Macaca mulatta: one gene and its partner. The protein of the gene in region 1 interacts with the protein of each later gene in a pairwise test. Links are inferred from orthologs where the notes say so. Each region holds a gene or a part of one and is shown on either strand. Other genes may lie near its edges.

The links.
Region 2: the proteins of FBLIM1 (region 1) and CUTA interact in binary tests that used the Homo sapiens proteins (3 or more experiments, as listed by UniProt). The two-hybrid records come from large-scale screens. The link is inferred for Macaca mulatta from reciprocal best matches to the Homo sapiens genes FBLIM1 and CUTA.

Annotation. Positions count from the first base shown.
Region 1 is NC_133406.1:225,257,012-225,260,572, reverse strand, and holds part of FBLIM1 (filamin-binding LIM protein 1), read left to right. Parts: intron 1-376; coding exon 377-555; intron 556-2,181; coding exon 2,182-2,299; intron 2,300-3,561. UniProt on the Homo sapiens protein: Serves as an anchoring site for cell-ECM adhesion proteins and filamin-containing actin filaments. Is implicated in cell shape modulation (spreading) and motility.
Region 2 is NC_133409.1:148,861,627-148,865,110, reverse strand, and holds CUTA (protein CutA), read right to left. Parts: upstream 2,102-3,484; 5' UTR 2,071-2,101; exon of another isoform or gene 1,998-2,070; 5' UTR 1,988-1,997; coding exon 1,946-1,987; exon of another isoform or gene 1,856-1,945; intron 1,684-1,855; coding exon 1,469-1,683; intron 1,299-1,468; coding exon 1,239-1,298; intron 1,131-1,238; coding exon 1,085-1,130; intron 958-1,084; coding exon 908-957; intron 769-907; coding exon 642-768; 3' UTR 550-641; downstream 1-549. Other genes in the region: PHF1 (PHD finger protein 1), read left to right, coding at 1-99. UniProt on the Homo sapiens protein: May form part of a complex of membrane proteins attached to acetylcholinesterase (AChE).

The DNA.
Region 1 (3,561 bases):
ATTTCAAGGCTTCTTGTCTATATGATAAAAGCACCCAATTCTCCTGAGAATTCCTTTTCCTGACCCTGAGGTTTAAGCGAAGTTTCTCCTATGAGCTCTTTGAACCCTGACCTTAAACATATCCCAGTAACAAGAAATGCAGTCATAGCATCAGGGCATCAGGGCAGTATTCCTTACAGTAAGCCAAGGATGCAAGGCTAAGCTCAATTTGTTATAAGCAATGGTGGAGGTTTTGGGCAATAGTTACAGGTTGTCTGCAGGCCTCTCCTGTACTTCCCAATTCCTGGGCCCCCGAGGGCAGCCTCCCAGAAGAAGAGACCCTTGTGGGTTGGACTGGGTGTGCCGTGGATGACTCTGACAGTGGCCTCTGTCCCAGGACACGTTGGAGAAGTGCGGCAAGTGTGGCGAAGTGGTCCAGGACCACATCATCAGGGCCCTGGGCCAGGCCTTCCACCCCTCCTGCTTCACGTGTGTGACCTGCGCCCGGTGCATTGGGGATGAGAGCTTTGCCCTGGGCAGCCAGAACGAGGTGTACTGCCTGGATGACTTCTACAGGTACGAGAGGGGTTTGGCACCAGGTGGGGTGCAGGGACAGGGTGAGATCCAAGCAGGATGAAGGAGCCGAGCCTGAGTCCTGGGTGCTGGGCCAGAGTTTCCTGTCTACTGGTTTATTATAAAGAATATTACAGGCCGGGCGCGGTGGCTCAAGCCTGTAATCCCAGCACTTTGGGAGGCCGAGACGGGTGGATCACGAGGTCAGGAGATCGAGACCATCCTGGCTAACATGGTGAAACCCCGTCTCTACTAAAAAATACAAAAAAAACTAGCCGGGCGAGGTGGCGGGCGCCTGTAGTCCCAGCTACTCAGGAGGCTGAGGCAGGAGAATGGCGTGAACCCGGGAGGCGGAGCTTGCAGTGAGCTGAGATCCGGTCACTACACTCCAGCCTGGGCGACAGAGCGAGACTCCGTCTCAAAAAAAAAAAAAAAAAGAATATTACAGGGCTGGACTGGGCACAGTGCTCATGCCCATAATCCCAGCATTTTGGGAGACTGAGGAGGGTGGATCACGAGTTCAGGAGATTGAGACCATCCTAGCTAACACGGTGAAACCCCATCTCTACTAACAATACAAAAAAAATTAGCCAGGCCTGGTGGCGGGCGCCTGTAGTCCCAGCTACTCAGGAGGCCGAGGCAGGAGAATGGCGTGAACCCGGAAGGCGGAGCTTACAGTGAGCTGAGATCGTGCCACTGCACTCCAGCCTGGGCGACAGAGCTAGACTCCATCTCAAGCAAAACAAAGCAAAAAACTAAAAAATATATATAATGTCACAGGCAGGTACTATTAAGGGTTCTGTTTTACCAACCAAGGCACACAGCAGCTAAGTACCCAAAGTCTCTCCACAGGTAAGTATTGAAACTCTTGGTAAGTATGCACATCCCCAAGGACCTGACTTTTGGGCCCTGCTCTGAAACCCCAGACCTCTAGGTCTGCCCTTGGAGCTGAATGACGCAGTGGGGACACATCTGTTGGACTCAATCCCTGCCCATGAGTTGCTCACCACTCAAGGGGAGAGACAGATGTGCCTCTTAAGAAAGAAGTACTGGCTGGGCACAGCGGCTCACACCTGTAATCCCAGCACTTTGGGAGGCCAAGGTGGTTCGGATCACGAGGTCAGGAGTTCAAGACCAGCCTGACCAACATGGTGAAACCCTGTGGTCGCTACTCAAAATGCAAAAATTAGCTGGGCATAGTAGCGCCTGCCTGTAGTCCCAGCTGCTCAGGAGGCTGAGGTAGGAGAATCGCTTGAACCTGGGAGGCGGAGGTTGCAGTGAGCGGAGATTGTGCCATTGCACTCCAGCCTGGGTGACAAGAGCCAAAAAACTCCGTCTCAAAAAAAAAAAAAAAGACAGATGAGATGGGTCCCAGCCCCACTGAACACAGTTCTCAATTCAGGCAATCTCCAGTGATGCTGGGAAACCAGGTCTCATTACACAGGTCTCTCCACCTGCTCCTGCCAGGAAGAAATAGACATCTCTGCTTATAGCTGCTAGTGCAGTCCCATAGCAACGGGACTGAAATTGCTCAGGAGGTGAACACCAGCCAGCCCGAGTTCTGACAGCTAATTAATTTATGTGGTTGTGGCATGAACGCCTCCCAAGCATGGGTTTCTTTGCTTCTAGGAAATTCGCCCCCGTCTGCAGCATCTGTGAAAATCCCATCATTCCTCGGGATGGGAAAGATGCCTTCAAAATCGAGTGCATGGGAAGAAACTTCCATGAAAATTGCTATAGGTGTGAGGTGAGTAGAGCCCAGGTGGTTTAATAATATTCCATCGCTGCATTGCCAGGCCCTTGGCTGGGTTGCTTGGACATGGGGACAGGTCAGGGTGGGGGCTATACTCTCAAATTGCTCACTGTCCAGTAGGAGAAACAAAAGATGCTGGAAATACAACTATAGTCTATTATCAACTCTTCGCGTTAATGATAAGAAACCAAACTCGGGGCTGGGCGCGGTGGCTCACGCCTGTAATCCCAGCACTTTGGGAGGCCGAGGCGGGTGGATCACGAGGTCAGGAGATTGAGACCATCCTGGCTAACACGGTGAAACCCCGTCTCTACCAAAAATACAAAAAAAAATCAGCCGGGCGCGGTGGCGGGCGCCTGTAGTCCCAGCTACTCGGGAGGCTGAGGCAGGAGAATGGCATGAACCTGGGAGGCGGAGCTTGCAGTGAGCCGAGATCGCGCCACTGCACTCCAGCCTGGGTGACAGAGCAAGACTCTGTCTCAAAAAAAAAAAAAAAAAGAAACCAAACTCAAGTTGCTTTCTACAAAAAAGAGAATCTGTTGGCTAATGGTGGTGGGAACACTGATGGTATTGAGTGATGGCATCAGGACTCTCTCCATCTTTCTTTCTTTCTTCCTTTCTTTCCTTTCTTTCCTTTCTTTCCTTTCTTTCCTTTCTTTCCTTTCTTTCCTTTCTTTCCTTTCTTTCCTTTCTTTCCTTTCTTTCCTTTCCTTCCTTTCCTTCCTTCCTTCCTTCCTTCCTTCCTTCCTTCCTTCCTTCCTTCCTTCCTTTCTTTCTTTCTTTCTTTCTTCTTTCTTTTCTTTCTTTTCTTTCTTTCTTTCTTTTTTTTTTTTTTGAAGATAGTCTTACTTTTGTTGCCAGGCTGGAGTGAAGTGGTATGATCTCAGCTCACTGCAACCTCCGCCTTTTGGGTTCAGCAATTCTCCTGCCTCAGCCTCCCAAGTAGCTAGAATTACAGGCATGCACCACCGCACCTGGCTAGTTTCTGTATTTTTAGTAGAGATGGGGTTTCACCATGTTGGCCAGGTGGGTCTCAGGTGATCCGTCCACTCCACCTCCCAATGTGCTGGGATTACAGGCATGAGCCAACGCTCCCAGCCTCTTTTCCATCTCTTGGCTCTGCCTTTTTTATGTGTTTGCTTCATTTTTGCTGCCTGTGGGCTGGCCTTCTCTGTGGGGAGGTGGGGCACAGTGCATGGGCAGAGGTGGCCCAGGTTTACATCTCCCCGGCTTAGAAACCCTAGGGGAAAGACAGA
Region 2 (3,484 bases), on another chromosome or scaffold:
CTGTCCCGAGGGGACCCTGTCCGGGTCCTTGCTCGGAGAGTACGGCCTGATGGCTCTGTGCAGTACCTGGTTGAGTGGGGAGGAGGGGGCATCTTCTGAACAGCTTGCCTCTGCCCACCTCCCCATTCACACACACCGGCACTTTCATACCCTGACCTCTGACCTCACCTACAGCTGGGATGTACCTGGAGAGATAGGGGATAGTTCTCCCTACTGCCCAGGCTGGAATCCAAGAGTGGGGGGTGGGGAAGAGGCTCTCTTCTCTACCTTCCTTCATGATTCCTGACCCCTCCATCCTTCCCATTTCCTTTGATGTTATTTTGTTACAGCTTTTTAAATATTTTTTAAAATTATTTAACCCCTGGGGGCAGAGACTGAGGAGGGAGGATGATAAGGGATCCCGGACTCTGTATGATTGAAATAAAGAGAAATAAATCTAGCAGCTCGGAGTCATTCTGAAAGATGTACAGAATACAGGGACTAGAAGCACTTATATTCTCCCAACAAATTTGCATACATGACAAGGAAAAAACAGGCAAAAGGCAGAAAGACCTAAAGACAGGATTTATTGGGGGCCCGGTCATCACCTGGAAGTCAGAAGGCATTGAGTATCAAGGGGATCACGGCAGGAACAGGGCTCATCATGGCAGGGCTGTGCTGGAGTCAGAAACTGACTCTGTGACCTGGCGCACCCACTGCAGGTATGGAAAGTTCCCCTGTTCCACAGGCAATGCAATTACCTCAGCCACTTCGTAAGGGTGCACAGAACTACAAGATAGGTGGGTGGGGGAAGGGGATTACTCAAAGATTGACCTAAAGGAAGCCACTCCCTCGCGCAAGCAAGTCCCATCCCCACAGTACACCCCCACAGTACACACCGTCACCCCATACATCTCAAAGTTCTCACCGAACAAAATCTGTCAAAGCCGGGACCAAGGAACTTTGGGTTTTAATCATCTAAGGGACAAAGATAAACATGGTTGAATCAAGGAGTGGGACTGAGTTCAGTTTCTCAGAAGAGGGGTAAGGGCTAAAGGGGTCAGGGATTGGGGAAATTTTGTTGGGTGGGGGAAATGTTTCTCACCATCAGCACCTCACTGTCTTCCTCGATCTTCCCTTTCCACTCATAGCTGAAAGGTCAGAGGGGGAGAGTTGTGAGGAGCAAAGAATTTCCCCCAGGAAAGAGGTTCCCAGTCAGCTCCTACAGTTAGGTTAACCCCCCAACTCCTATGACTCACATGGATGTAATCTGAGGGATGAGGTTGACGCAGGCTGCTAGGCGCTTCTCCACCACAGCCCTGGAGTGAAGAGACAGTCCCATTCAGAGTGCCCCATGACCCCAGTTTTTGTACTGGCAGCCCAGAGACAGGCTTGCAGAGCTGAAGAGAGGAGAAAGCGGCACTCTTCTGCCCCACCCCCAACTCTCCCTTCATGATCATCCTTTCTCGCTGAACATCGAGGTCCCTACCTGGCGATCTCCTTGGCGACCTTCTCGTTGGGGCAAGTGACAAAGGCTGCAGACACCGAGCCCGGAACGTAGCCGGAGCCGGAATCCGAGGCTGGCGAGGGCTGGGTCGGAGGGCTTCCAGAGGCCATGGTCAGCAGGGCTCGGGGTAGCAACAAAAGGCGGGAGGCCACAGGCAGCAGCGCCGGCATCCAAACAAAAGACAGGAGCAGAGAAGCCTGAGAGCAGGAGGCGAATTCGATCTCTCCTCACCAACAGCCCAGGAAATTACACCCAGGGAAGCCTCTGCTTACTCAGGCTCTGCCCTCCCTCTGATGTACCCCGAAGAAGAATGCCCCTGAAGGTGAGAGAGAAACTTGGAAAAGTAAAGCAAAGGCTCATTTCACTCACACCTCAGGGGGCCAACCTCTGGGATTTGGGGTGCAGGTAGCGGTCGAGGCTTCGAGGACCGGAAGGGGCGGGACGGGGCCGGTCACTCACCACTCCGCCGAGCAGGACCGCGGGAGCCCGCCCCCTACTCATGCGGCCTACGCTGGTAGAGGAGAGTTGATCTCAGAGGCCACACGTCACACGGAGAAACAACCCCAGGAAGAGCGGCCTCTTACCTGGGTGGCAGCCACGTGATAAGAAAACAGCGCGCACCATGTGACAGTAGAAGGGGGACCACCCGCGCTTCCAGAGCCAGCCAATCCTGGCCCTCTCGTGGCGCGGTTTGCCCGCCTCCTGATGAGGGCGGAGCGATGGGAGACTTGACCAATCGACCGCTGGATCTGCAGACGTGCGCGGAAATGGCACGCCCGTTTCCGTGTGAACCCGAAACTACCACTTGCTGGCTGAGGAGAGCCGCTGCGGCGTTCCACTGTCACGTGAGGGGGCCGGTCCTCTCCGGCGGCGGCACTCAGTGAGTGACGCCAAGTGGCCAATCACAGGCCAGCCCTGCAGGCCACGTGAGGCGAGTGCTGGCTCCAGGAAAGGGGGGGGGCCGGAGACCCCGCATAGTCGATGCGTCAGGCTGTGGTGTGGGGAATCATTCTTAAACCCCACAATGTGCCTAACCTCCCCTGCACTGTTTCCGAGGCCTTAAGGTGTGGCAGGGTCTGAGAAAGACCCTTCACCCCAACCTCAGGGGTTAAGAGAGCGCCCCCTGCCATTTTAGTTGGGACAGAGATGTGCCTGGGTTTGGGAATGAACAACGGTGATCTAGAAGCCCGCTGTCCCTGCGTAGCGGGGAGTGATTAGGCAGGCATGGGCATGGCACGACAATAGCTAGGTGAGGAAAGATGCATTTTAAAACAGAGCGAGATCCTGTAAATGGGGTAGAGGATGGTGAAAATGGGGCCTAGCCATCTTAATTGAAAACCCAAAGCTTGAGACAGACTACTGAATCAGAGGGAAGGAGAACGAGGGCTGCAGGATGGGGACAGTGGTGATGGTCCTTCTGTCCCCTCTTCCCTGCCTATTCCACTCCCCAGGATTGGTCCACCTCTCAGCCTTGGGTCTCCTTTCCCTAACCCATCCCCTGAGGAGCCAGGACCTGCCCTACATAACTTCCCTGGGGCCCAAGCACATCCTGTGACCCAAAAATGGAGAGAGGGGCCAGTGAGAGGCAGAGAGGTGGGAGGAGGCGCAGAGAAAAAAGCTCTTGCCACTGCCCCCACCCAATATTTCCCCTCCCTTCAAGGTCTGAGGTCATTGGTCTGGTGGTGGGGATGCCTCGGAGTTTCCCAGGCTGACGTCAGTGTTCTACCTCTCGGAGGTTCTAGGGCAGGGAAGTGGGGAGGGGAGGTTCCCTGAGATCTCTGTCTTTGAGTTTGGAGTTTGTCTCTGAGACAGATTTCGGAGGGGTCTTTCAGTATTTGTGTGGAGATCTTTCTTAGGACTGAGTTTCCTTTTATGTTTTTGGTCTGGGGGGTTTCTATGTTTCAGGGTCTGTGGTCGCACTCTGAGGTCTTTCGAAGTCTTCTTCATGAATTTTGGGTCTCTGAGTTGTCCATCTCTGGACCAGCTGAGGTCTCTCTC